2 linked regions of the Anolis sagrei genome follow. The protein of the gene in region 2 interacts with the protein of the main gene of each other region in a biochemical or structural test. Links are inferred from orthologs where the notes say so. Each region holds a gene or a part of one and is shown on either strand. Other genes may lie near its edges.

What was found.
Region 1: the proteins of MC4R (region 2) and pro-opiomelanocortin form a complex in vitro, tested with the Homo sapiens proteins (2 studies listed by BioGRID). The link is inferred for Anolis sagrei from reciprocal best matches to the Homo sapiens genes MC4R and POMC.

The regions. Positions count from the first base shown.
Region 1 is NC_090021.1:5,504,034-5,519,843, forward strand, and holds the start of pro-opiomelanocortin, read right to left. Parts: upstream 7,769-15,810; 5' UTR 7,487-7,768; intron 1-7,486.
Region 2 is NC_090024.1:91,501,959-91,517,279, forward strand, and holds MC4R (melanocortin receptor 4), read right to left. Parts: upstream 6,106-15,321; 5' UTR 5,684-6,105; coding exon 4,685-5,683; 3' UTR 3,805-4,684; downstream 1-3,804.

The sequences.
Region 1 (15,810 bases), on a different chromosome or scaffold from region 2:
CAGCGATGGAATTGAACCAAACTTGGCACACAGAACTCCAATGACCAACAGAAAAAACAAGAAGGGTTTGGTGGGCATTGACCTTGAGTTTTGGAGTTGTAGTTCACCTACATCCAGAGAGCACTGTGGGTGCAAACAATGATGGATCTGGACTAAACTTGGAACACATACTCAATATGCCCAAATGTGAACACTGGTGGAGTTTAGGGAAAATAGACCTTGACATTTGGGAGTTGCAGTTGCTGGGATTTATAGTTCATCTACAATCAAAGAGCATTCTGAGCTCTCCCAACGATGGAATTGAACCAAACTTGGTACACAGAACTCCCATGACCAACAAAAAATCCTAGAAGGGTTTGGTGGTCATTGATCTTGAGTTTGGGAGTTGTAGTTCACCTACATCCAGAGAGCATTGTGGACATAAACAATGATGGATCTGGACCAAACTTGATACTCAATGTTTACACTGGTGGATTTTGGGGAAAATAGACTTTGACATTTGGGAGTTGCAGTTGCTGGGATTTATAGTTCACCTACAATTGAAGAGCCTTCTGAACCCCACCAATGATAGAATTGGGTCAAACTTCCCACACAGAACCCCTATGACCAACAGAAAATACTGTATTTTCTGATGGTCTTTGGCGAAACCTCTGACACCCCTTCGCGACATCCCATGGGGTCCTGAACCCCAGTTTGAGAAACACTGATCTAGACCACCCCCCTTCTGCTATACAGGAATGCACAGTTGCTGAATGCATTCCTAAAAGATTCCCAGAAGGATAGCCCAGGACCCTTGCACTGGACTAAAAAAAAGTTATTTCCAATGTTTAAGGGGTACATTCTTTCCTTGTAATATGAATCCATTCGTCTGTATCTGATTTCCTAGAATAGTTAACAAACCAGCTCCATCTTCACCATGGCCTCCCATGAGGTTATTCAAAGATTTCCGCCTTGTTCCCCCCTCTTCCAAACAAACCGAAAAGCTATAAATCCTTATTCTCGGATCCGGGGAGAAATAACATTTCCGGATTTTGCTTGGTTTTCTGGATTCTCCCCTAATAATAATAATAATAATAATAATAATAATAATAATAATTGCATTGCAGGATGGGGTCAGACTGGATGGCTTCTGGGGTTCCTATCAAAATCTTGTTGTGTTTCAAATAATAATAATAATAATAATAATAATAATAATAATAATAATAAAATAATAAGTAAAAAATCATAGGGGTTATTCTGGTAGAGAACTCACCACAGAGTCCCAGCATCCTATGCCAAGTCCAACTTTCCTGCGTTATTAAGCTGTGTAGAAATAATCATGATTATAATAATCATAATAATGGGTAAATCCCATAGATCTAGGAGAGGACTCACCACAGAGTCCCAGCATCCTATGCCATGTTCAACTTTCTTGCGTTATTAAGTTGGGTAAAAATATAAATATAATAATAATAATAATAATAATGCCAGAAGCGACTTGAGAAACTGCAAGTCGCTTCTGGTGTGAGAGAATTGGCTGTCTGCAAGGATGTTGCCCAGAGGAAGCTCGGATGTTTTGATGTTTTACCATCCTTGTGAGAGGCTTCTCTCGTGTCCCAGCATGGGGAGCTGGAGCTGACAGAGGGAGCTCATCCACGCTCTCCCCGGATTTGAATCTCCGACTCACTGCAGAGTCTCAGCATCCTATGCCACATCCAACTTTCCTGTGTTATTAAGCTAGGCAGAAATAATCATGACTGCAATAATCATGTCAGGAGCGAGTTGAGAAACTGCTTCTGGTGTGAGAGAATTGGCTGTCCGTAAGGACGTTGCTCAGGGGACACCAGGATGTGTTATCATCCTGTCGGAGGCTTCTCTCATGTCCCTGCATGGAGAGCTGGAGCTGACAGAGGGAGCTCATCCACGCTCTCCCCGGATTTGAATCTCCGACCTGTTGGTCTTCAGTCCTGTCGGCACAAGGGTTTAACCCATTGCACCACTGGGAGCTCCTAACTATAAAAATCATAATAATAGGTAAATCCCATAGATTCAATGGGGTTACTCTAGTAGAGGACTCACCGCAGAGTCCCAGCATTCTATGCCATGTCCAACTTTCCTGCATTATAAAGCTGGGTAGAAATAATCATAATTGTAATAATCATAATAATAGGCAAGTCCCATAGATTCAATGGGGTTACTCTAATAGAGGACTCAACTGAGAGTCCAAGTATTCTATGCCATGTCCAACTTTCCTGTGTTATTAAGCTGGGTAGAAATAATCCTGATTATAATAATCATAATAATGGGTAAATCCCATAGATCTAGGAGAGGACTCACCACAGCATCCTATGCCAAGTCCAACTTTCCTGTGTTATTAAGCTGGGTAGAATAATAATAATCATAATAATAGGGTTTTTTTCCCATGTCATGAGCAACTTGAGAAACTACAAGTTGCTTCTGGGGTGAGAGAATTGGCCGTCTGCAAGGACATTGCTCAGGGGACGCCCAGATGTGTTATCATCCTGTGGGAGGCTTCTCTCATGTCCCTGCATGAGAAGCTGGAGCTGACAGATGGGAGCTCACCCCACTGAGAAACTGCAAGTCTCTTCTGGTGTGGGAGAATTGGCCATCTGCAAGGACGTTTGCTCAGGGGACACCAGGATGTGTTATCATCCTGTGGGAGGCTTCTCTCATGTCCCTGCACAAGAAGCTGGAGCTGACAGAGGGAGCTCATCCACGCTCTCCCCGGATTTGAATCTCCGACTCACTGCAGAGTCTCAGCATCCTATGCCACATCCAACTTTCCTGTGTTATTAAGCTAGGCAGAAATAATCATGACTGCAATAATCATGTCAGGAGCGAGTTGAGAAACTGCTTCTGGTGTGAGAGAATTGGCTGTCCGTAAGGACGTTGCTCAGGGGACACCAGGATGTGTTATCATCCTGTCGGAGGCTTCTCTCATGTCCCTGCATGGAGAGCTGGAGCTGACAGAGGGAGCTCATCCACGCTCTCCCCGGATTTGAATCTCCGACCTGTTGGTCTTCAGTCCTGTCGGCACAAGGGTTTAACCCATTGCACCACTGGGAGCTCCTAACTATAAAAATCATAATAATAGGTAAATCCCATAGATTCAATGGGGTTACTCTAGTAGAGGACTCACCGCAGAGTCCCAGCATTCTATGCCATGTCCAACTTTCCTGCATTATAAAGCTGGGTAGAAATAATCATAATTGTAATAATCATAATAATAGGCAAGTCCCATAGATTCAATGGGGTTACTCTAATAGAGGACTCAACTGAGAGTCCAAGTATTCTATGCCATGTCCAACTTTCCTGTGTTATTAAGCTGGGTAGAAATAATCCTGATTATAATAATCATAATAATGGGTAAATCCCATAGATCTAGGAGAGGACTCACCACAGCATCCTATGCCAAGTCCAACTTTCCTGTGTTATTAAGCTGGGTAGAATAATAATAATCATAATAATAGGGTTTTTTTCCCATGTCATGAGCAACTTGAGAAACTACAAGTTGCTTCTGGGGTGAGAGAATTGGCCGTCTGCAAGGACATTGCTCAGGGGACGCCCAGATGTGTTATCATCCTGTGGGAGGCTTCTCTCATGTCCCTGCATGAGAAGCTGGAGCTGACAGATGGGAGCTCACCCCACTGAGAAACTGCAAGTCTCTTCTGGTGTGAGAGAATTGGCCATCTGCAAGGACATTTGCTCAGGGGACACCAGGATGTGTTATCATCCTGTGGGAGGATTCTCTCATGTCCCTGCACAAGAAGCTGGAGCTGACAGATGGGAGCTCACCCCACTGAGAAACTGCAAGTCTCTTCTGGTGTGAGAGAATTGGCCATCTGCAAGGACGTTTTCTCAGGGGACACCAGGATGTGTTATCATCCTGTGGGAGGCTTCTCTCATGTCCCTGCATGAGAAGCTGGAGCTGACAGATGGGAGCTCACCCCACTGAGAAAGTGCAAGTCTCTTCTGGTGTGCGAGAATTGGCCATCTGCAAGGACGTTTGCTCAGGGGACACCAGGATGTGTTATCATCCTGTGGGAGGATTCTCTCATGTCCCTGCCCAAGAAGCTGGAGCTGACAGACAGAAGCTCACCCCACTGAGAAACTGCAAGTCTCTTCTGGTGTGGGAGAACTGGCCATCTACAAGGACGTTTGCTCAGGGGACACCAGGATGTGTTAACATCCTGTGGGAGGCTTCTCTCATGTCCCTGCACGAGAAGCTGGAGCTGACAGACGGGAGCTCACCCTGCTTCCTGGATTCGAACTGTCGACCTTTCGGTCAGCAGTCCTGCTAGTACAAGGATTTAACCCATTGCGTCACCGGGATAGAATCATATAGAAGACTATTGTGGGCCATCCGGTCCAACCCTATTTTGCCAAGAAGCAGGAAAATCAAAACACCCTCAACAGATGGCCATCCAGCCTCTGCTTAAAAGCCTCCAAAGAAGGAGCCTCCACCACACTCCTACAATAATAGGTAAATCTTACCAATTCAATTGGGTTACTCTAGTAGAGTTCCAGCATCCTGTCCTATGCCACGTCCAACTTTCCAAGTAGAGCAGTGTTTCTCAACCTTCCTAATGCCGCGACCCCTTAATGCAGGGCCTCATGTGGTGGTGACCCCCAAATTATTTTCATTCCTACTTCATAACTGTAATTTTGCTATTGTTATGAATTGCAATGTAATTATCTGATAAGCAGGATGTATTTTCATTCACTGGACCAAATTTGGCACAAATACCAGATACATCCAAATTTGAATACTGGTGGGGTTGGGGGAAAGATTAATTTTGTCATTTGGGAATGTTGGAGTTGCTGGGATTTATAGTTCGCCTACAATCAAAGAGCCTTCTGAACTCCACCAATGATGGAATTGAATCAAACTTGGCACACAGAATTCCCATGACCAAGAGAAAATACTGGGAGGGTCTGGTGAACATTGACTTTGAGTTTGGGAGTTGTAGTTCACCTACATCCAGAGACTCAAACAATGATGGATCTGGACCAAACTTGGCATGAATACTCAATATGCCCCAATGTGAACACTGGTAGAGTTTGGGGAAAATAGACCTTTTCATTTGGAAATAGTAGTTGCAGGGATTTATAGTTCACCTACAATCAAAGAGCCTTCTGAGCTCCACCAATGATGGAATTGAATCAAAGTTGGCACACAGAATTCCCATGACCAAGAGAAAATACTGGGAGGGTCTGGTGAACATTGACCTTGAGTTTGGGAGTTGTAGTTCACCTACATCCAGAGACCCAAACAATGATGGATCTGGACCAAACTTGGCATGAATACTCAATATGCCCCAATGTGAACACTGGTAGAGTTTGGGGGAAATAGACCTTTTCATTTGGAAATAGTAGTTGCAGGGATTTATAGTTCACCTACAATCAAAGAGCCTTCTGAACTCCACCAATGATGGAATTGAATCAAACTTGGCACACAGAATTCCCATGACCAAGAGAAAATACTGGGAGGGTCTGGTGAACATTGACTTTGAGTTTGGGAGTTGTAGTTCACCTACATCCAGAGACTCAAACAATGATGGATCTGGACCAAACTTGGCATGAATACTCAATATGCCCCAATGTGAACACTGGTAGAGTTTGGGGAAAATAGACCTTTTCATTTGGAAATAGTAGTTGCAGGGATTTATAGTTCACCTACAATCAAAGAGCCTTCTGAGCTCCACCAATGATGGAATTGAATCAAAGTTGGCACACAGAATTCCCATGACCAAGAGAAAATACTGGGAGGGTCTGGTGAACATTGACCTTGAGTTTGGGAGTTGTAGTTCACCTACATCCAGAGACCCAAACAATGATGGATCTGGACCAAACTTGGCATGAATACTCAATATGCCCCAATGTGAACACTGGTAGAGTTTGGGGGAAATAGACCTTTTCATTTGGAAATAGTAGTTGCAGGGATTTATAGTTCACCTACAATCAAAGAGCCTTCTGAACTCCACCAATGATGGAATTGAATCAAACTTGGCACACAGAATTCCCATGACCAAGAGAAAATACTGGGAGGGTCTGGTGAACATTGACTTTGAGTTTGGGAGTTGTAGTTCACCTACATCCAGAGGACACTGTAGACTCAAACAATGATGGAACTGGATCAAACTTGGCATGGATACTCAATATGCCCAAATGTGAACACTGGTAGAGTTTGGGGAAAATAGACCTTTTCATTTGGAAATAGTAGTTGCAGGGATTTATAGTTCACCTACAATCAAAGAGCCTTCTGAACTCCACCAATGATGGAATTGAATCAAACTTGGCACACAGAATTCCCATGACCAAGAGAAAATACTGGGAGGGTCTGGTGAACATTGACTTTGAGTTTGGGAGTTGTAGTTCACCTACATCCAGAGACTCAAACAATGATGGATCTGGATCAAACTTGGCACGAATACTCAATATGCCCCAATGTGAACACTGATAGAGTTTGGGGAAAATAGACCTTTTCATTTGGAAATAGTAGTTGCAGGGATTTATAGTTCACCTACAATCAAAGAGCCTTCTGAGCTCCACCAATGATGGAATTGAATCAAAGTTGGCACACAGAATTCCCATGACCAAGAGAAAATACTGGGAGGGTCTGGTGAACATTGACTTTGAGTTTGGGAGTTGTAGTTCACCTACATCCAGAGGACACAATAGACTCAAACAATGATGGAACTGGATCAAACTTGGCATGGATACTCAATATGCCCAAATGTGAACACTGGTGGGGTTTGGAGAAAATAGACCTTGACATTTGGGGGTTGTAGTTGCAGGGATTTATAGTTCACCTACAATCAAAGAGCCTTCTGAACTCCACCAATGATGGAATTGAATCAAACTTGGCACACAGAATTCCCATGACCAAGAGAAAATACTGGGAGGGTCTGGTGGGCATTGACCTTGAGTTTGGGAGTTGTAGTTCACCTACATCCAGAGGACACTGTAGACTCAAACAATGATGGAACTGGATCAAACTTGGCATGGATACTCAATATGCCCAAATGTGAACACTGGTGGAGTTTGGAGAAAATACACCTTGACATTTGGAGATTGTAGTTGCTGGGATTTATAGTTCACCCACAACGAAATAGCATTCTGAACCCCACCGATGATAGAATTGGACCAAACTTCCCACACAGAATCCCCATGACCAACAGAAAATACTATGTTTTCTGATGGTCTTTGGTGACCCCTATGACACCCCCTTGCGACCCCCACAGGGGTCCCAACCCTCAGGTTCAGAAACACTGAAGTAGAGAAAGCAAAAAATGCAAGAGATGAGGAAGAAGAGAAGTGGAAGCTAAAGAAAAGAAGGGTTGCAATGGATCAAGTGACCTGTTAGCAAGAAAGAACGACGAGAAGTAGGAGGATGGCAATGGATGGGGTGTGTTATCCATCCAAAAGGAGAGAAGAGCAAACCTGCCCAAGGCTGCAAAAGAGGGAGAGGAGCAACTTGCCTTACCTGGTCCGCAATGCTCCTGCTCTGTCCTTCCTCTGTGTCTTCTTCCTCTCTCTGTCTCTCTCTCTCTCCTCCTGTCTGCGTCTCCACATCTCTGCCAGCCCCCTTTTATACCAGAGCAGCCCATCTGGAGAGGCGAAGGCACCCTTCCCTTCCGGGCAACCTTTTCCAGCAGCGAGGGGAGGGACCCGGGGACCCTCCAGGTGCAGACAAGACAAAAGAGGCCGGGATTAGCAGCATCTCGACAAGGATCACATGAAATGCGGCAGGAGCTGGGTGCGAAGAAGGCACCCCAATCACAGTTGTGTGGAGAGGGAGGTGGGGGGATTAACACCTGGGTGCGCAAAGGGCAGCCAGGTAATTCTTTCCATGACACCTGTGTTGGAGATTGAGCCTCCAGGTGATGGGTGATGCAGGGTTTTTGCATCAGAGTGGGGAGGGGGATTCGCCGGTGTCTCACAGATGCGCACAAGATGCCAAAGCGTGTCGGACCCCCCCGTCCGGGGGGGTCCGACACGCTTTGGCATCTTGTGCGCATCTGTGAGACGCCGGCGAATCCCCCTCCCCACTCAAGACAGCATTTGCCGAATCGCTTTGTTCGGTTTTAAGGGCCAAAAATGTTTCCAGATGTTGGAACGTATGGCGAAGTGCATGTTCTCAGATGTGGCAGGCCGAGCCGATGTGGACCCCTTAGAGTTGGAAGAAATGTATTGTCCAACTGGGTTGTTGTAGGTTTTTCGGGCTATATGGCCATGATCTAGAAGCATTCTCTCCTGACGTTTCGCCTGCATCTGTGGCAGACATCCCCAGAGGTTGTGAAGACACAGAAGCATTCTGACGTTTCGCCTGCATCTGTGGCAGGCATTCTCAGAGGTTGTGGGGTCACAGAAACATTCTCTCCTGATGTTTCACCTGCATCTATGGCAGGCTTCTTCAGAAGTTGTGAGGTCATGGGAGCATTCTCTTCTGATGTTTCACCTGCATCTGTGGCAGGCATTCTCAGAGGTTGTGAGGTTACAGGAGCATTCTCTCCTGATGTTTCGCCTGCATCTATGGCAGGCATCTTCAGATGTTGTGAGGCCCCAGGAACATTCTCTCCTGATGTCTCGACTGCATCTTTGGCAGGTATCCTTAGAAGTAGTGAGGTCCCAGGAGCATTCTCTCCTGATGTTTCTCCTGCATCTGTGGCAGGCATCCTCAGAGGTTGTGAGGTCCGAGGAACATTCTCTCCTGATGTTTCACCTGCATCTGTAGCAGGCATCTTCAGAAGTTGTGAGGTCCCAGGAACATTCTCTCCTGATGTTTCACCTGCATCTATGGCACGCATCCTCAGAGGTTGTGAGGTCCCAGGAGCATTCTCTCCTAACATTTTGTCTGCATCTATGTCAGGCATCCCCAGAGGTTGTGAAGTCACAGAAGCATTCTCTCCTGAGGTTTCACCTGTATCTGTGTCAGGCATCCTCAGAGGTTGTGAGGTCACGGGAGCATTCCCTCCTGATGTTTCACCTGCATCTATGGCAAGCATCCGCAGAGGTTGTGATGTTACAGAAGCATTCTCTCCTGATGTTTCGCCTGCATCTGTGGCAGGCATCCTCAGAGGTTGTGAGGTCATGGGAGCATTCTCTCCTGACGTTTCGCCTGCATCTATGGCAGGCATCCTCCGAGGTTGTGAGGATCTAACAACCTCTGAGGATGCCTCCCATAGATGCAGGCGAAATGTCAGGAGAGAATGCTTCTAGAACGTGACCATATAGCTCAACAACAACCCTCCCTGCATAAGCGGTACCTAAATTTCCTACTTCACAGATGCAACTGTCTCTCGGGCTGCAAAGGTCGACAGCAAGCTAGACAAATGGCCGGAAGCTCACTCTGACCCAGGCTGGCTTCGAACTCATGACCTCTTGGTCAGTAGTGATTTTGATGCAGCTGACTCCCAACCAGTTGCATGACAACCCGGTCCCTGGACTGCACAAGTCTCTTGTGTTATCAAGTCTCCAGTCCTCAATGAGTAGTTACTACAAATAGGATCATAGTGAGGGATTCCTCCCCTCACATTCCTATGCATGCTTATCGCAGAAGGGGCTTTGTCTTTACTCTTCTTGCTTTCCACTATCTCCTTCCCCCTTGAAGATGTAGCAAAGTTAAATTGTATATCACTGATTGTTTTTTATCCTTGTTGTAAACCGCGTTGAGTCGCCTGTTGGGCTGAGAAACGGCGGTATACAAGTATAGTAAATAAATAAATAAATAAAAATCTGGTTATGAAGTTTACTTCGAGTACTCTGCTGTATTTATAGTAGGATCACCCTGTTGTGACTCAGCTGGAATCACAGAGTGTCTCTGATGAGGAGGATGGGACTCAGGTTCATAGTTTGGTTCAAAATGTCCCTGTTATAGTCAGTGAAGAAGTGCAGTTTCCCACAGCAAGGCATGAGAGTGTTGATACTGGAAATAGCCAGGTGCAGGTGCAGATTGACTCAGAGAAGGAGGGCAGTTCTCAGCCTGATAATGAGCAAGCAGGGAAACAGGGTGACACTAACGAACAGATTGACCTTGACGAAATGGGAACCTTAGATCAGGCTGACCGTTCAAAGGAGTGAGAGGATAGCTAACAAGAGGGAGGCCAGAGGCCAAAGAAACGCCTTCATGTTTTGTAAAGGGTATTAAGCCGTGTGTTTGAGACCAAACTTTGTCAAAGCAACTTTGCGTTCAACTAAGAAGCTCAAACTTCCGTCCAGTGGCCCTTATTTCTCATGCCAGTAAGGTAATGCTCAAGATCCTGCAAGGAAGACTCCAGCAAGACATGGAGCGAGAGTTGCCAGATGTTCAAGCTGGGTTTAGAAAAGGCAGAGGAACGAGAGATCAGATTGCCAATATCCGCTGGATAATGGAGAAAGGCAGGGAGTTTCAGAAAAACATCTCTTTCTGTTTCATTGACTCTTCTAAAGCCTTTGACTGTGTGGATCATCATAAATTGTGGCAAGTTCTTGGTGGGATGGGCATCCCAAGCCCCTTTCCCTCTCTCCTGAGGAATCTGTACAAGGACCAAGTCGCAACAGTCAGAACTGACCACGGAGGAACAGACTGGTTCAAGATTGGGAAAGGCGTACGGCAAGGCTGCATACTCTCACCCAACCTCTTTAACTTGTATGCAGAACACATCATGCGAGGATGTGCGGGGCTTGATGAATGCAAAGCTGGGGTAAAAATTGCTGGAAGAAACATTAACAACCTCAGATATGCAGATGACACCACTCTGATGGCCGAAAGCAAGGAGGAGCTGAGGAGCCTTCTCATCAAGGTGAAAGAAGAAAGCGCAAAAGCCGGGTTGCAGCTAAACATAAAAAAAACCAAAATTATGGCAACAAGAATGATTGACAACTGGGAAATAGAGGGAGAAAACGTGGAAGCCGTGACAGACTTTGTATTTCTAGGTGCAAAGATTGCTGCAGATGCAGACTGTAGCCAGGAAATCAGAAGACGCTTCCTTCTTGGGAGGAGAGCAATGTCCAGTCTCGATAAAATAGTGAAGAGTAGAGACATCAGACTGGCAACAAAGATCCATTGCCTAGTCCAAGCCATGGTATTCCCTGTAGTCACCTACGGATGTGAGAGCTGGACCTTAGGGAAGGCTGAGCGAAGGAAGAGAGATGCTTTTGAGCTGTGGTGCTGGAGGAAAGTGCTGAGAGTGCCTTGGACTGCGAGAAGATCCAACCAGTCCATCCTCCAGGAAAGAAAGCCCGACTACTCATTGGAGGGAAGGAGACGAGAGACAAAGTGGAAGTATTTTGGCCACATCATGTGGAGACAGCAAAGCCTAGAGAAGACAATGATGCTGGGGAAAGTGGAAGGCAAAAGGAAGAGGGGCCGACCAAGGGCAAGATGGATGGATGGCATCCTTGAAGTGACTGGACTGACCTTGAAGGAGCTGGGGGTGGTGACGGCCGACAGGGAGCTCTGGCGTGGGCTGGTCCATGAGGTCACGAAGAGTCGGAGACGACTGAACGAATGAACAACAACAAGAAGCTTGCCTTTTCTTGTCTGGATTATCTTGCAGTTCTTGAACATGAGGAAGAACTTCCTGACTGTGAGAGCCGTTCAGCAGTGGAACTCTCTGTCCCAGAGTGTGGTGGAGGCTCCTTCTTTGAAAGCTTTGAAACAGAGGCTGGATGGCCATCTGTCAGGGGTGCTTTGGATACAATATTCCTGCTTCTTGGCAGAATGGGGTTGGACTGGATGGCCCATGAGGTCTCTTCCAGCTCTATGATTCTATGATTCATAACAGTAGCAAAATGACAGTTATGAAGTAGCATCAAAAATAATTTTATGTTTCAGGGTCACCACAACATGAGGAACTATTCAGGGGTCACAGCATTAGGAAGACATATCTAAACCATACATCTTTATCCATCCATCTATCTGCATATGTATCTTCTATCTGATGCATTTCTCTCTTTTCCCTTGCCTTGCTGGGTTGCCTGAGATGAGGTAAAGGGGAAGATAGATTTAAAATGCTCAACAAACAAATACAATCATTTAAGACCCAGCTTCAAAATAGTTTAAAGATTATTCCCTTTCTCACTTTGCACCAAACTAAATAAAGCATAAAGGGTGAGAGATGGTCCCTCGTGGCCACCTCCATTTGTCGCCCCCCGAAATAGTCCTTTTGGAGAGGATAAACGTTGAAAATAATACATCAACGTGGTTTTCATAGACAAATGCCCAGCTTGGCTGGTCTCCCTCAGGGAGTTTATGCACATTAATGGCTCGAGCCACCTCCAGTTTTAGTGGCCTGAAACAGTCCGGGAAGCTTCTTTCCTTTGACGGATGGGCCATTGGATCGTCATTACGGCCCCCGAATTTCCACGTTAAAGTCTCCTTCGTCAGCATCAAGTCATTCCAGAGCTTTGAATGAATCTGCAAATGCTTTTACGGAGAAAAAATGGTGACGCGGATGGAGGAACTGGGGGCCAAAAGGTGGAGATGGAGTGGCTCCCTGGAGCAAATTGACAGGTGGGTGCCTTCTTCTCCGCCGCCGCATCTCATAATCACATTCCCTTTCTTTCCTTTCTGTCTGGTTTCTTCTATTTGCAAAGTCTGTGCCCGGAGACTGGCACTTCAGGCTGCAAGGGAGTGGGAAAGCCATTGCACTTCCTCGGGAGAGGGATCCCATTCAGGCAAAGCAAAAGCCCCGTTGCAAAACTCCCAACGGTGGCCTACTACAGAAATACTACAGATCCCAGGATCATATAGCATTGAGCTACAGCAGCTCAAAGTGATGAGAAACTGCATTAATTCTACTATGTAGATCAGGGGTGTAGATCAGTAATACATGGAACAAGAGTTGCCAGATGTGCAAGCTGGGTTTGGAAAGGCAGAGGAACAAGAGACCAAATTGCCAACATCAGCTGAATAATGATGGAAGGCAAGGAATTTCAGAAAAACATCTATTTCTGTTTTCTTCACTTACTTACCTAGGTGATCCCTCGTTGTTCAGGTAGGATAATCTTCCAGGGTGTATCCGTAGGTGACTGTGGAGCCCTATTCTTGATCTGCATCTTCTCCCACAGTGAGGGCATCGGTTTCCAGGTGGAAGTCGGTCGGTTCCTCTTGGCACGCTTCTCCCTTTCGCCCTCCATTCGTGCCTCTTCAAATTTTGCAGCACTGCTGGTCACAGCTGACCTTCAGCCGGAGCGCTCAAAGGCCAGGGCTTCCCAGTTCTCAGTGTCTATGCCAGAGTTTCTAACTCTGAGTTTGTCAGGGGTGATTTGAATGCAATATTCCTGCTTCTTGGCAGGGGGTTGGACTGGATGGCCCATGAGGTCTCTTCCAACTCTTTGATTCTATGATTCTATGATAAGGTTCACTTTGAGCCCATCTATAAATCTCTTTTCCTGCCCACCAACATTCCATTTTCCATTCTTGAGTTCGTAGCAGAGCAACTGCTTTGGGAGATGGTGGTCAGGCATCCGAACAACGTGGCTGGTCCAGCGGAGTTGATGGTGTAGTAGCATCGCTTCAATGCTGGTGGTATTTGCTTCTTCCAGCACGCTGACATTTGTCTGCTTGTCTTGCCAAGAGATTTGCAGGATTTTCCAGAGGCAGCGCTGATGGAATCGTTCCAGGAGTTGCATGTGATGTCTGTAGACAGTCCATGTTTCGCAGGCAGCCCTGTGGTACTCCTTTCCCAATCTTGAACTAGTCGGTTGTTCCATGGTCTGTTCTTACTGTTGCCACTTGCCAGGTTCCTTAGGAGACAGACAAGGTGACTTGGTCTCCCCATGCCACCAAGAACTTGCCACAATTTATTATGATGCACGCAGTCAAAGGCTTCAGAGTAGCGAATCTTTTGTCGACCGGGACCAACTTCCACCTGGAAACCAATGCCTTCATTGCGGGATATGATGCAGATCACAAATAGGGCTCCATAGTCACCTACGGACCCACCCTGGAGGATTCTCCTACTCGGACAATGAGGGATCACCTAAGTAAGAAGTAAGAAGTTGCCTGCAGAACACATCATGCGATGTGCGGGGTTTGATAAATCCAAGGCTGGAGTTAAAATGGCTGGAAGAAACATTAACAACCTTAGATATGCAGATGATACCGCTTTGATGGCCAAACGCAAGGAGGAGCTGAGGAGCCTTCTTACCAAGGTGAAAGAAGAAAGTGCAAAAGCTGGGTTGCAGTTCAACATCACAAAAACCAAGATGGTGGCAACCAAACTGATTGATAGCTGGCAAATAGAGGGAGAAAACGTGGAGGCCGTGAGAGACTTTGTATTTCTAGGAGCAAAGATTACTGCAGATGCAGACTGCAGCCAGGAAATCAGAAGATGTTTCCTTCTTGGGAGGGGAGCAATGGCCAATCTTGATAAAACAGTGAAGAGTAGTGACATCAGACAGGCAACGAGGATCTGCATAGTTAAAGCAATGGTATTCCCCATAGTCACCTATGGATGAGAGAACTGGACCATAAGGAAGGCTGAGGGAAGGAAGATAGATGCTTTTGAGCTGTGGTGTTGGAGGAAAGTTCTGAGAGTGCCGTGGACTGCAAGAAGATCCAACCAGTCCATCCTCCAAGAAATAAAGCCCGACTGCTCACTGGAGGGAAGGAGATGAGAGGCAAAGATGAAGTATTTTGGCCACATCATGAGAAGACAGGAAAGCTTGGAGAAAAGAATGATGCTGGGGAAAATGGAAGGAAAAAGGAAGAGGGGCCAACCAAGGGCAAGGTGGGTGGATGGATGGTATCCTTGCAGGGACTGGCTTGACTTTGAAGGAGCTGGGGGTGGCCACAGCTGACAGGGAGCTCTGGCCTGGGCTGGTCCAGGAGGTCACCATGAGTTGGAAGTGACTGAACCAATAATCAGCAAACAGATCATTGGTCCTCAAACTACAGCCCACGGGCCAAATCCAGCCCATCAAAGGCCTTTGCCCTAAACTGCAGGCTTGCCACTACCACCACCACCATTCATGCCACTCTCTTTTTGCTCCTTAACGCAGGGGTATAACTTGAAACCACGTAGATGTATTGTCGAAGGCTTTCATGGCTGGAATCACTAGGTTCTTGTGGGTTTTTTCGGGCTATAGAGCCATGTTCTAGAGGCATTTCTCCTGACGTTTCGCCTGCATCTATGGCAAGCAGCCTCAGAGGTTGAGAAGGTCTGTGATGTATCTTGTAGATGTATCTTGTACAATGAATGTCACCTGAGATGGGAGAATTTCTCATGGCTGTTCATTTACTGATGGGTCTGGACCATAATAAATATTGTTGTTGTTGCTCCTTAATTCTCCTTTCCTTTCCTTTTATTTCATTTCCTTCCTGTTATTTCAGGTCCACTGGTGGTTGGTTTGGTGGCTGTTTTTATATTTAGCTATAATGTTGATGTTTTATTTTGTTTATGCTGTTGTTTATGTATTTTAATGTGTTTATTTTAACTACGTTGATCAGGCTTGTCTCCATGGAAGCCACCCCGAGTCCCTTCGGGGAAATGGAGGCAGGGTACAGAAATAAAGCTATTATTATATTATCTTTCCTTTCCTTTATTATCCCCCCAAAGTGAGGGGATCATTTCCACCCCATTCTTGCACCTTCCAGAACAGAAAGAGGAGAGGAGAGAGGAAGAAAAAAAGAAAGAAAAGGAAGATCATAGAATCATAGAATCAAAGAGTTGGAAGAGACCTCCTGGGCCATCCAGTCCAACCCCATTCTGCCAAGAAGCAGGAATATTGCATTGAAATCACCCCTGACAGATGGCCATCCAGCCTCTGTTTAAAAGCTTCCAAAGAAGGAGCCTCCACCACACTCCAGGGCAGAGAGTTCCA
Region 2 (15,321 bases):
GGTCCACTTATATCCTGATTCCAGCTGGAAAGTATGCATATTCACGTCACTGTGCATCCCTGCGCTCACAAAAAACATGTGATTTCCTTCCCTCCCTCTTGTTGAGACTGCTACAGTGTACTTGTGCTTTTAAAAAGCCTGAAACAGCTCATCAGTGGATTGGCGTTTCAAATGGGCACATGAGTGGTGCAAGGAAAGCACAAGTGGAAAGTAATTATAACTCTCTGAAACAGAGCTGGAATAAACAATTGAAGGAAGGGTGAAATCTGGCGTAAGTGGTTTGTTTATTCACTTTGTTATGCGCCGGACCTCATATATGTACATACAACTCTGCTTGTATTTATATTAAGATATTTGCATGTGCACATATACAGTCCAGTAAAAAATTCCACCGGATGTCCCCCGCCCACCCTCCATCTTGTTCCAATGCAGAGGAAGCCTGTGAAGATGGTGGGGGACCCAATCCTGGGACTAACAGGTGAAAATAGGGACATGTTCTCAGGTCCCAAGATTTTTTACTCCCCATTTAAAATGTGGATTTTGGCACTGTCTAGACATGCCCTCCGTAAATCCACCCCAGGTTTAATATGAATTTGAATTGTTTAGCAACTTCTTAAATATATGGACAAAAACCTAGCATAAATTCACTGCCCCTAAGCCACCAGTTAATGTTGAATAGAAGAGCAGTTTTACCGAAATAGTATGCATTCCAATTTTTCTAAATATCATAATAAATATAACTGATTTTTGTGCATCAAGATAAGAATTTCCCTTCCAGAATTACACCCCAGCAACAGTAAACTAGGCAAGATAAATGACCTCCCTCAGTGGTTCAAAATGGAATATGTGTACCACTCCAAATGATGATGGGTCACAATGTCTACGACACAGCATAGTTAATGTTGGGGGAGGGGGGGGTGACAACAACAGAAGTCACGCTCAGAATTAGCTTCCCAGCAGGTATTAAGATAATTGAAATCTCCCATAACTACTGGTTCTTGGTTTTGGGAGTTTCCAGATGATTATTTCAGAAAAGCGTCATCTACTACCTCATCTTGATTTGGTGAGTTATACTACCTTCTTCCATAGAGTAGGTCTTTCTTTCTTTCTTTCTTTCTTTCTTTCTTTCTTTCTTTCTTTCTTTCTTTCTATTTTTACACACAAGCTCTCCATTGGTCCAGAGTCTATGTGGATTTCTGTACAAGTGAATAGTAATACCCAACCACACTTCTGTCTGTTTCCTCCTGTTACCTCCTACAAGAATTCTACTGGATAGACAACATGTATTGTGCTTACAAAGAAGTCCATAAAATAGAATGGGACACAAAAGTGCTTTTTTTAACAAAACTGTAAACATTTTTTCTTCTACTAAGACTGTTGGTTTTCTTCTTACTATACAAAGGTCATACATGACCTTCTCCCTGATTCAATCCATCAAATTGTTTTCTGAAAGATGGGCAAATGGGGAAATGTTTTCTGCAAAATCTTAACTTTGGACAAGTACACAGAAAATGAAATGCACACAAATAATAAGAGGTTGTCTGTTTGATCTTGGAAGCTAAGAAGAGCCAGGTCTGGTGGATAGTTGAATGGGAGACTGAATACCAGGTTCTGTGAGTTATATTTCATAGGAAAGCAATGAAAAATACATCCGAGTAGTCATTACCTTAGAAAATCATATAAGATTCATAGGGTCTGTATGTGGATGGACAGGTATTTAAAGGAACATAATGCATCAAACTTCAAGTTCATTTCACTTGGCCATTTCTTACTATTTCTACACCACATTTTGGAATTTTCCATCCTGACATTCTTTATATTGCCAAGTTTTAGAGCAGTCAATCACTCTCCAAGGACAAGCTATAGAAAATTCTGTTAATTTCAGGTTGTAACAGGGAAAACCAAATTCATTTGCCTATAACACATAGTCGCAACCATGGTCTAAGACACCAATAAGTAACAACAATGGTGATGATGGTGATGATTCCACCAACAGCGTTTTTATTTATTTTTTCTTTAAGTGTTTAAACTACCATTCAGGACAAGCAATCACCCAAGATGGTTTGCAATTATAAACCCAGTAACATGTAATAATAAAAATAGTAAAACAATATAACAGGAATACATAAAAACATTTGAATGTGTAAACAACATTGCATAAATTAATGAAATAATCAGTGCCCACAGCAGATAAAAAAGAGTGACAATGGGTAAAGAAGTCTTATCTAAGGCCCCATCTATACTGCTATATACACTCCAGATTATCCGCTTTGAACAGGGTTATATTGCAGTGTAGGTCTAGGCAGAGCCACTTTGAATCTCAGTCTGTGGCCTCTTCTACACTCCCTATAGCTCAATAACTGATACTAGATTATCTGCTTTAAACTGGAATATATGAGGCCTCTTCTACACTGTGATATAAAATCCGGATTATCTGCTTTGAACGGGATTATATGGCAGTGTAGACTCTCATAATCCAGTTCAAAGCAGATAATCTAGATTACTGCTTTGATCATCTGGATTATATAGCAGTGTGGAAGGAGTCTGAATCTCCACTGCGATATGAAGATAATCTGGGATCAGATCCTGGGCTATAGTGGCAGTGTGGAAGGGGCCTGAAAGAAAAGAGGGGCACAAATCCAATAAAGGAATAAAGTGGAATTATAGTGTGGTTTTAAAGGACCCTGGATGATCAGTATCTTTACTTATGTTGTGCACATTTTTGTTTTTATTGTTGCTTCTTGTGGCATTATGATTTTTTTTTTTTTTTGTAAATCCAACTGGGCTGTAATTATATTTTTTTCCTGTAAGGACTGGTATGCATCCCATTAGCTGTACTCAATGTTCTAGGAAGGGAGTATATGTTATAAACATTTTCATTATATATATTAAAAAACCCATGGTGTGTGTTTGGTTAATGTGTGTTTCTTTTTAAAAGATGGTTCTGTATCAGAACATAATTAGATACTAATAACTGATCTGGATTCCCAAGGCCAGGATTGCTGTAGCACATTAATTTGGACCTACTTTAATTTAGCTTTTAAAGCTGAGCACTTTAAGCTGAGTGTTGCTGCTTTCATTCCTGGCTTTGCTTCTACCTAGGATTTAAAAGCAGCAGTATTACTTCAAATAGCATAGTTTTGTATTTAACATAGGGGCACACATCAATCTTGAGCATTTTGTGGAAAGGCACTCCAATACATTGAGCAAGAGCAAGTCAATAAGTATAAATTATGTTTCTAACTCGGGAAGCCCGGTCAGACAAATTGGACACATATAGAGAAATATGAAAGAATGAAAAAATAAAAAAGAAGCACTTAAAGTTGCTTCTTCCCAAAGGGACATTGTAGAATGGACTTAATAATAGATTAAATTCAAGAGCTTGGTTTTTGTGCCTCAAACATCGAAGGTGTGCTATTTTCTTGATAGAATAAGTTTTTAAACCACAAAGGATTAGATGGAAGTCACCAATGGTTTTTTCTCTCTCTTCTTTTTAAATTTTACTTCTTTCTTGCTTTCTATACATAGTATTGTTTCCCCACTTTAAATGTATGAACAAATTACCCCCATTTTTGTTTACCCCTCTCCTTGTCTACCCCCTAAATAAAAATATTATTAAAAGGAAGTATAAATTATTTTTCTCAGGGTTGTGAATAAATGTGAACATTACCAGGGAGAGTGAGGAGAGAACGATGTTCATTAATTCAAACATAAATACTAATTTCCCAAACAAGTCTAGTAGTAATCATAATTAATGCAACAGAACTACTTTAGTTCTCTCTCATATTAAATCAGCAGGGGCTATTTACTTTACAGAAAGTTGTCAGTGGTTTATCAGTGGTTTAATGAGAGTTTTAGAGGTGGAGGCACTTGTAATAGTTCCCATGATCCACAAGGAGATTCACAAACAAATTCTGCCAGCTTTTATCTCCTCCAGTAGCAGGTCTTTTGTAAAGTTAATGGGTCTTGATTTCACATTCAACACCAAATCAATATATATTACATTACAACAGAGATGGATGAAAAAAATGTCTTGGTACTGTGACAAAATCATTCCACCTCCCCTCCACCCGATACAGTGATGATTACAACTGAGGTCCTTTATTTGCTGCCATATAAAATCCAGATTATGTGCTTTGAAGTGGAACATATGGCAGTGAGGACTCAGTGTAGATCCAGCCAGGAAGGAAATCCGACAGGAGTTATCACATCTGCTTATGAAAAAGTTGTGGAGCACCTGAGCTCAGTGGAAAAGATAATATTTTCATCACATTTCAAGTTAAATATCTTTGTGCAAGGCAAAAAAAAAATCCTGCTTTCAAACATAAGTAGCTTAATAGAGCAAGGCAAAGAACAGTGATGCATGCAAGATATATTAAGGCAATATTTTCTTGCTTAGTCCTCAATATTATTGTTCTAACTATATCACAGTTTTGAAAATATGGGCACATGTTCCTTTAATAACAGTCTGTAGAGACATTCCTAACCTTAAGCAGGAGCAACACTTTAACATTTAAATAATTACACTCAATGGCTTGACAAGCATAAAAGCAGAGAAATACATTTAATAATTCCAGTAAAGCAGGGTTCTTTCTCATCCATCTAGCCCACAGTCTTAGAAACACTGGAGGAAATGTCAGCCTCTGTAAAAGGTGCGTAAGTAAAAGAGCTTCACTGTGTCCATTCAGTATTTGCTGGAGAAATCACACAGCTCTCGCAGGCTGTAACAGCACATAATCTCTTTGAAGGTTTTCCTCAGCTCTTGACTCCGGAAGGCATAAATAAGTGGATCGATAATGGAATTGCACATGATGAGGATGAGGTACAGGTGAAAATGTGACATGAAGCAGATGCAGTATGGATTGTGGGGGCAAGAGATGTAGAAAAGCAAATGGAAAAAGAGTGGGGCCCAGCACACCACAAAAACCCCAATCAAAATGGTCAAAGTGATTGCCCCCTTCATGTTGGCCCGTTGACAGATGGGTCCCGTGCCGGGGAGAATAGCGATCTTTTTAATATGCAGCCGGGCCAGCAGGAACATGTGGACATAGAGAGATGCCATGAGGACTAGCATGGTAAAAAACATGCTGATGAGACAAATGATGACCACACTACTGTCGGAGTATATGATGAACAGGATGCCTGAAACAGTGCAAGCAGCCCAGATGCAGGTGATAATGATACCTACACGCCGGACTGTCATGATGTTATGGTACTGGAGAGCATAGAAGATCGTAAAGTACCTGTCCACAGCTATGGATAGCAGACTACAAATTGAGGCAAGCAAGGAGCTGCAGATCACCGAGTCAATAATATTGTCAATGCTGACCGTGAAACTGTGGGCGCCCACATCAGTGTTGTTCAAGAGGGTGATAACGATAGTTTCCGACCCATTGGAGACACTCACAAGTAAATCTGCTACAGCTAAGCTGCAAATGAAAAAATACATCGGGGAATGCAAATTCTTGTTCTTGGCTATAGCCACGATCACCAGGACATTCTCTAACAAGCTGACAAAGCCGAGGGTAACAAATACTTCCGGTGAGACAAAAAGTTGCTCGTAGCATCCTTCTGAAGAGTAACTCTTCCCCAGGGATCGGTTCATGACTCCACCATGTAGTCTGTAGCTGTGGTTCCACAAGTCAAGATGCTGGTGAATCCCGTAGTGGTAGGTGAAGTTCATCTTCCAAAAAGCAGTGATTCAAGAGCTAACAATCCTTTTGTCAGTTTTTGAATTCAATCCACCTCTCTCTCCAGTCTCCACCTCTTTGAATGAATCTGTGGATATGTTTTTCATGAGAGGGGGCTGTTCCAAACAGTGACAAGGGATGCAACGGCAGGAAAGCAGATTCCAAGAAGCAAGATAAAGATGCAATGTTTTGCAGCCAGAGTTGACTCATTCAACGCCATATGCGCCTGTAGCCTCTGAGATTGTATAGCTGAGTGCTGCTTCTCTTTCATATAGCCTGGAATTTGGTGAAGTACTTCCATTCTCTGTGAGAATCGAACCTCAAGAGGAGCCACAATGCTTTCAGTTCCAGCTGATGAGTTCTAAAAAAGAAAAAATCATTTCAAGCCATACATAGTACTCAGTTTTCTGTGCAATGCCAGCCTGCCTGCTGCTGTTACTTGTACTGTGTTGGAACAGGGAAGGTAGTTAGAAGCAAGTTCCACCTCCAGTTTACTATCCAGCCAATAGAGAGAAAAGGATGTGTGAGGGCAGGAGGAGCTGGATGCATTTCAGATTTCTACAGTTTGGTAAAACATTTTCCTGTGCAATACAGCTGCTGAGTGTTAACAGGAGAGGAGGCTGTTTTTGTTTCTCTAGATTTCTGCAAAGAATTTCTCTAAAAAATTTCTGCAAAGAATTTCTCTTAAATATCATTTTATTCAGGAAGCTTTTGGCAACTGATCAGTTGTTCAGGATGGGGCTTCCAATGGCATGTGTGTTTAAAAACTCATCATTCAATTGTGTTTTAAAATAATGATTTTAGTATACAAATACATGGCATTTTTTTCTGCAAATGTTTTAAGCACAAGCTGCCTTGAATGTCAGATCTGAGAGAAACTCTGGGTGTGAATCAAATCAATAAATGAGTAAGAAAATATGATCTGCTTCTATTTGTCCTTGCAAAGAAAATAATAATTTCCTATGTTATAGATCAAATAAATCATAGTGGTGATGGTGTTGCTTTCCTTTCATGAGGTATGTCAAGATCACTATTATTATTATAATAATAATAATAATAATAATAATAATTATTATTATTATTATTATTATTATATGCTGTACCAAAGTCAAAACCCCTCCATAAAATTGCAGCGACTTTGAATGTTTAGACCAGTTGATTCAAACACTGTATCCTGAGTATCCATGGAAATAAAGGAACTGTGAATGAGCAACATATAAAGGAATGAAACTACTAGCCAGTCTGGGGACCCTTCTACACTGCCACATAAAATCTAGATTATTTGCTTTGAAAATCTGGATTATATGGCAGTGAAGAAGGAGCCTGGCAGGAACACCCTCATCATAGAAATAACTCCCTTGAGCCAATCTGTAACCCACCTTGAGTTGCCTTAGGGCTGAGAAAGGCAGACTAGAAATGCTTTGTATTTTTAATTTTTTTTGGCATACAGTTCACAGTAGTATTCATTGGGGATTGGTTTCCTGTGTAGGGCTCCCCCTCCCCCCATGGATACAATGGCATAGTAAAATGGTGTCCCTTATTTACAATGGCAAAATCAACGTTTGCTTTCATGACTTTTGTAAACATTTTCAAGCTATGAATAAAGGAATTTATGGATATGTTAGACAAAAAGTGTGTACCTGACTGTTCTTGAAACTCTAGGAGCCTAAAACGGATCTCCAATACCCACATCGTACCAAGACATGGAGCCTATGGGTGACTTTTCCCCCAGAAACTCAGTTCAGCTAACATCAGTAGGCAACCTTAAACCTGTATCTACCAAGTTACATAAACACATACACACATTTCAGGGCAAATCCCATCATTCATCCAGGTAGTAGACATACCTCACAATATTTAGATACATGATCTAGCAGTGAACTCAGACTGAAAGGTCACGCAAGTTCCCCAGCTCTCTGCCAGACCCTTTTCCTGGGAACCCATTCAAAACACGCAACACCCTTTCCACCATTATTTAGCTGATCAAGATACATTGTCCTACTCTAGGCAAACAGGAATGATGCTATTAGCACTCAAACTCTATCCACATTCCTTTCTCCCATGCATTTTCTGGAAGTGGACCAAGAAGCAGGCACAAATCCTCAAATGGAGCACTGACCATTTATTACAATTCCTGCCAGGCCAGAAACCTATAAATGAAAGTGGTAGATGACTTGTCTTGGCCAACCAGCATGTGGATCCTAGCTGGCCCCTGTCTGACCCAATCAGTGCAAAAGTTCTTTGGTTTAAACTGCTGTCAAAGTCCTATACATGATTCTGTATGTTTTCATTACCTCACATCAGTTTTGAGAGTGCAGACTCTGCTGGCATTCACTTTGGCCAGAGTGAATAAAGTCTCTGGCCACTTCCACCCAGCTGAATAAAATCCCACATTATCTGCTTTGAACTGGGATATATGGCAGTGTGTGGACTCAGATAGCCCAGTTCAAAGTAGATATTGTGGGATTTTTTGCCTTGATATTCTGGGTTATATGGCTGTGTGGAAGGGCCCTCTGTTTCTTTGCCTTCAACCAATCCAGGTCTCATTCCAACTTTGGAGCTTTGGACCCCAAATCCGTGGTTCTTGAAAAAGCTGAAACCAATTCACATGACTACTTAAACATTTACAGCAAAATACGCTCCTTAAAGACACCAGAACTTTGGAAGCCATGTAGGGTCAGCTCTTGTTAGTACTTGGATGGGAAACTACCAGTAAATACCAGATACTGTGGTGAGTGAACATATATTCCACATATATTCCATATTTTGTCTGTTCCAACTACATTTCCATCCTCATGATGCACTTAATGAAGGTCTAACCCATTGTTCATTCCTTTTGAGCTCCTCCCTCAGAAACACATTCTCTCACTACTTATCTCATCCAGGGTTTTATCAATTTTATCCTAGTGCATTTGGCCCGCCCGCTGTGTTCAATTTCTCTATAATGTTATTTTCTAAGTGTTTGTTTTATTTTGTTATTTCATCTATTTATTTTGATGGTATTTTCTGCTTCTTTGTATTTTATTTTGCTGTACTGTAATTTTGAGCTTGGCCCCATGTTAGTTGCTCTGAGTCCCCTTCAGGGAGATGGTGGCGGGGTACAAATAAAGTTTATTATTTATTATTATAGTGTGGATTATATTTTGGAGAAAGAACTGGCAAAAACATCTCTGAGTATTTAAATTCATGGAGTTGCTGTAAATCAAATGTGACTTGAAGGCATATACATGGATATTCTCCAACATTTCACAGATGATAACTAGGATAGAATGTGGACAAAAGATGTCCAAGAAAGTTATTAATAGGGAAGAACACACAACATAACTGTTGTAAGCAGAGAAACACTAAAATGTATGTACTGTGAAAGTCTGAAAAAGAAAAACAATTCAAATACACATACAAGGAAGTACATAACTCTGTCCCTCTTCATTTCTGTCTCCCATTGAATTAATTGGATGCAAATTACTTTTGCATTTTGAATTCACTTTGTAGCAATTGATGTAAGCAGAGGACAAAAAAATAAAGTAGAAAAAGGAGAGATAAAGTAGGACATTTTAAAAGCAGTTGAAAAAGTGGGAAAGCCAAGAATTAACCAAGGGCTCATTCTAATTTAATTGCCATGGCTGCATCGGGGATTTGGTGAGGTATTACCTGAGAAATCTAAATGCCTCTCCATAAACTGTGTATTTCAGGATTCCATAGAATGTAACTATCAATTTATGTGGAGTCATAGTACTATAATTGTATACTTCTAATGGATCTCAAGATTGTATCTGCAAATCTCGAACACTGCACAATATGAAGTGACCTTCAAGAGATGACATTTCTATTTGTTTTGCTGTCGTGAATGTCCTTTTTTCTTTCATGACATACAGTCAGATTTCCATTTTTGCTCAAACCTGTTATTTTTATTGCGTTTTAAAAACCTTTTTTTTTACCTTAGCTAACAATTCCCACTTCTTTATCTCTTTCCTAATGAAACAAATGTAAAACAGCTTCCTTTTAATATCGGTTGTTCGGAAATGAATTCCATAATTTCAGCTGTCCTTGAAAGGAATGAATGAAGTAGTATGTATTGAATATATCAAATAGCTATGTACAGTACATCTTTCCAGAATGAAGAAATCCTTGTCATCTGTGTTCCAACATTACTGTGTTCAGCTCAAGGAAACATGTCTGCCAGTACACTTGCATGGATAATTTATAGGCCCTGGAAGTCTCAAGGACAAGGTAAGACATCATGAAAATCCACTAAGGTCTTGCTCTAGCCCAGAAATAATTCATTTCCACCTAGAATTTTAAAATAGGGCTTGTTTTCATTTTTAAAAGAGTTCTAGAGTTTCCCATGACAGTATAAACCCTCCTTATCTACTTCATTCCAGATACTAGCAGATGATTTTAACATAGCCTGAGCACAGGGAGCACAGGGTGGTTCTCAAGACAATTGCAGATGGTTCCAGTTAGGAATTGACCCAGCTGACTTGAAACACTCTAAGTCAGGGGACAACCTGAATCCTGTTTTGGGGTTTCTCCCAAGTTAAATTAACCTGGGGTAAACCACATTAGCCAGGTCAGCCCCTGTGTGGGGTTTAGCTGCCATGGGGTTGATTGGCTATCACACTGATCTAACTGGTCTATTGATCTCATCCCATGTAAGTTTTCTCCAGTTTTTTCTCCCTTTTCGCATGCTGACAAAATGGAGTCCCACACAGGCCATTCCATGACACACCACCGCTTCCTCTGGCTGCCCATGGGAATCTGTCTTCCCAGAATGTGGAAACAGAGGAAAGACTGATTCCTGATTGAAGAAAGAGGATGAAAGCTGGGGGGAAGCAGGAAAAAAATAGGAAAAGGACATGGGATGACTGACCATCCCCTAAGAATGGATCCTGCCAGGGTAAGACAAGTCCCCAATCTTCCAAATGCTTTCCCCTACTTTCCTTCTGCTCATGGGATAAAGTCCTTTGTAGATGAGCCATATGTTATGAGCTATCCAGGCTGCTGATAAGAATATGCAAATCTCTTACATCTGTCCTGGCCAACCTAGGGTGCATCTACACTGTAGAATTAATGTGATTTGATACCACTTTCACTGTAATGACTCAATACTATGAAATCATGTAGCTATAAGAAGACAGCCACTCACCATTGCTCAACAAAAGCCAGATGGAAAATGTGCAGAAGACAAGAAGGCTTGGAAAGTAAGGCAGCAGCAGTAGGAAGGAAGCAGATATTCGTGTATTCCTTTTTGCTGTTTAGTTCTTCCTTCTTTCTTTCCAAACTCACACTGGAGCCACCAGCTTCCACTCCATGCCAAACAAAGCTGTTGGCTTCTCAAATGCCAGGGTTTGCAACACCAGACTGTTTTGAAGGGGAACTGAGAAACTCTCTTGTCACCACACAGATTACTTTCTTGTGTACCACTTTCCCCATTAACTGAGCTATCTGTAAGGATTCATTCAGTAAGCTACCAACTCATAGTTGGTTGCCATGATGCAATTTTTTGTTAAACTTCAAGGTTGATAAGTCAAAACTGATTTGAAGGCAAGCATCAACAAATGCCCAAACCACTCTATATGTTTCATTACCTAGTAAATGTGCATTTATGTTAAGTTCTCTGATACCCAGAGGAATGCCCTCATCTGGTGGCAAGCAGCTCTTATATGAAAAAATAAGTGTTCTTGAGGAAGAATGTGTCCTGAAACTCCTGCCAATAAATTTCACTGTGTGACTTCAATTATGTGATTGATTGTTTTGTGTGTGAGTGTCAGGAACAACTTGAGAAACTGCAAGTTGTTTCTGGTGTGAGAAAATTGGCCGTCTGCAAGGACATTGCCCAGGGGATGTCCAGATGTTTTTTTATGTTTTACCATCCTCGTGGGACTTTTCACTCATGTCCCCACATGGGGAGCTGGAGCTGACAGAGGGAGCTCATCCACACTCTCCCTGGATTCGAACCTCCAACCTGTCAGTCTTGGTGGGCAGTGTCCTTTGGTTTTGGAGTTGTAGTTCACCTACATCCAGAGAGCACTGTGGACTCAAACAATGATGGATCTGGACCAAACTCTACACAAATACTCGATATGCCCTAATGTGAACACTGGTGGAGTTTGGGGAAAATAGAATTTTGACATTTGGGAGTTGTAGTTGCTGGAATTTGTAGTTCACCTACAATCACAGAGCATTCTGAACCCCACCAACGATAGAATTGGGCCAAACCTCCCACACAGAACCCCCATGACCACCAGAGTGGGCCACAGCGTGGCAGGGGACGGCTAGTCTAATATAATAATTAAACTATCAGAAAATCATAACATCCATTTTTTGAGGAAAATTATTAGTAAAATAATATTAGACTTCCTCTTTTTCAAGCATTTTGTCACCCAAATTATAAGGACTTTATTTTACAGGGGTGGCAAATGGGCACCATGTATTACCCGTTGTTGGTCTGCCAGGATTGTTATTGCATGAATTCTGCAGGATGATGACTTTATAATGCAATAAATTCCTAAGAGGCACCAATTCATTTTTAATGATAAACTTCACCAGGGAATAGGGCATCATAATGGAAGAAGGTAAAGTTTACAACAACTGTTTGTTCACTTTGTTTCTTATTGGGTTACACCAGCTCTTTTATTTTTCTCTCATTATCCACTCTTCTTTTCTCTCTTTCATACACACAAATATACACAGACAGAGAAGGAGATGCTGGTGCTTTGATTAAACTCCTGTTAATTCCTTCTGAGTATACCATAAAGCAATAGAGATGAAATCCTGACCCTAATCCTGCATAAGAAGATGTATATGTATCATGTAGCTATGTCTCCCAATGTTCCTCCCTAAGCTGTGCAGGCTCCCTTCCATGTCAATGTTGTCATGATAGAGCAAAACAGTGTCAATTTCTTCTTTACCTGCGATGGAAAGAGTTCCGAGTAGTGAATTGGATCAATGGGACAAAACACATTTCCCAGAATGGCAGTGCTGATGGTTCTTTGCATTCCAAAGAAGGTATTTTTCCAACCTCATGCCTGATTAGGATTGTCTAGGGAATCTTGAAAGAGCATATTTCTGTTGCAGTAATACTAAGTGAAAAGGTACTGAAAATATTTTATTTGAAGCAGTTGGAGGGAACTAAAAAAGAGAGCTGAATCCCTCAGATGTTGGGGTCTTTCAGTCTGAGCTGTTTACTTTTTCACTTTAGTTGCTTTCTTGGGATAACCCTGCCTCCAGAACTGACACATACAATGCTCACAGCCTGAGGATACGCAGTCATCAGAGAGAAAAGCAACATTCTCCATCATTTCAAGTAGAGATATTTCACAAGAGAGTAAATTCTTTTTGCATGCACTTCTTTATATATTTAAATTAGGCACTGTGTACACTGATCTTCACTTGAAATAGTAAAGTATCAGAGTGATTTCCAATACAGGGGGGAAAAAAACAGTGGAATTTGAAGCCCAAAAGAAACAAATAAGACAGCTGGCACATGGCTATAAAATTCAAGGCATCGTCCCCCCCTGAATTAGGGGAAAACATTCCCCCCTGAATTAGAGCAGTCCTGACACCTGCAGCCAGTTCTATAATACCCGTGCAGAGCTTCTGGTGATGTGAGGTGGCTGTCCCTTTCCACCACAGCAGCAAAATGGTGACCTACTGTTGTACACCAGAGAAGGAACCCTCCTCTGACCTTAAACACCTTACCAGTTTGGTAAAATCAGCAAGCAGTTTATTGAAATATATATTGTTCCAAAACAGAGAACAATCCATGAACTTCAAGGCAAAACAAGATACAAAAATCCATGAAATAAGATGCAAGAATCCATGAATCAAGGCAGCATGAAAACATCCAATACACAAAACAGGAGCTTGGCAAAAACTTGATACATGAAACTATGAGCACTTGAAAGCAAGATTGTCTTGAATTTCCTACATTGACCCAACTGAAGCAACTCTTTCCCATGAATCAATATAAAGCTTTTCCAGAACCCAAGACTGAAAGGAAAGTATTTCTCTTGACATTAGACCTGGATAAGGGTTGCTTATCTCTCTTTTCTTGTAAGCAAACTGGTCTTATTTGTGCTTGACACTCTGTCTCTTTTTTACAGAAGCCTCACTTTCTAATTCCTTTCTCATTAACTTCTGCACCTGACAAATCATCCTCAGATAGTTCCTCTGGGAAAGACCATGAAAGGCCTCTCTCAGGAATGTGATCTTGTGAATCTTCCTGAGGCAGCTCAGGCCTCTCCTCTGACCTTAACTCAGGGCCCTATCACAGAGATCTATATCCCAGAATATCAAGGCAGAAAATCCTACAATATCTGCTTTGAGCTGGGTTATCTGAGTCCACACTCAGATAATGTGGGATTTTTTGCCTTGATATTCTGGGATATAGGTCTCTGTGATTCTGGGTTTTGTGAAAGGTCCAATCAAACCCTCAACCTCATTACCAACAGAACCAGGCCCACCATCAGGAACATCATCCCCATTTCCATCATGAACATCAGACACAATCACAGGCAGAACACGCTGACATACCACACCTACATGATCCTTGGAGGTCTCTTTTCCTTCTTCCATGACATGTAACTCATGAACGGGATGGGGAAAAGGAAGGAGGGATTTCCCCCATTCTTCTTCCCATCCTCCTTTGTGAGTTACACAATACTGAAGAGGGAAAAAGAAACCCACTATATAAACTGGCTGTGCTGGTGCTGTAGCCAGCAATGACATAAAGTGTGTAGCAGTTGCCCCCCTGCCTAGTTGTGTCAAAGGTGAGCCTGATCCAGCATCTGAATAATCGAATTTGGCCCTCTTTATTTGTCTATGTAGAATTGCCCAGTGAGAAGCAGAGCAATATGAAGTGAGTATTGGGGCAGGAGAGTGAAATGTTACCTTAAACTATTATGATTACCTGTGATTGTAAAGGTTTGGTTTGATTATTGGGATTGGCTGCCATTTTCAAATCATGGTTTAGACATCTGGATCACATGGAGAGATGATACATCCCACGGGTCCTCAAACCTTTATAAGCAGAGGGCCAGTTCAAGGTCCCTCAGACTCCTGGGGGGGGGGGCAGTAGTTTGGAAAAAGCATGAACAAATTCCTACACTGTACATATCTTATTTGTAGTGCAAAAGAAATGAAAGAGAAATAACAATATTTAAAATGAAGAACAATTGTAACTAACATAAACTCACACTGGTGAGTTTATGTTGGTTACAATTGTTCTTCAGTGGGAAGTGTGGACCTGTTTTTGGCTGATAAGATAGTCAAGTTAATTAGGTGTCGTGTTTATTTAAGTTGTTTCATACTCAGAGTAACCCTAAGTCTAAAGTTTTAGGTAGGGGCCATCTTAGAAGGCTGCATCAGGCCCAGCGGACCTTAGTTTGGGGATCCATAATAAATTCCTTAAAAAGAGATTGACACAGCCAAATTTCAAACAGCAGGCTTCAGACTCTGTACTTACACAAAAATCCCATAAAACAAAACTTTTAATGTTTTTTCTCTGCTCAATCTTGGCAATTCATGATGTTTGTCTTCTGGTTCGTGTTACTAATATAGCAACACATTCTGATAGCACCTGGCGGATCCTCAGCCTTTATGTGAAGAACTGCATCATTAAAAAATAAAA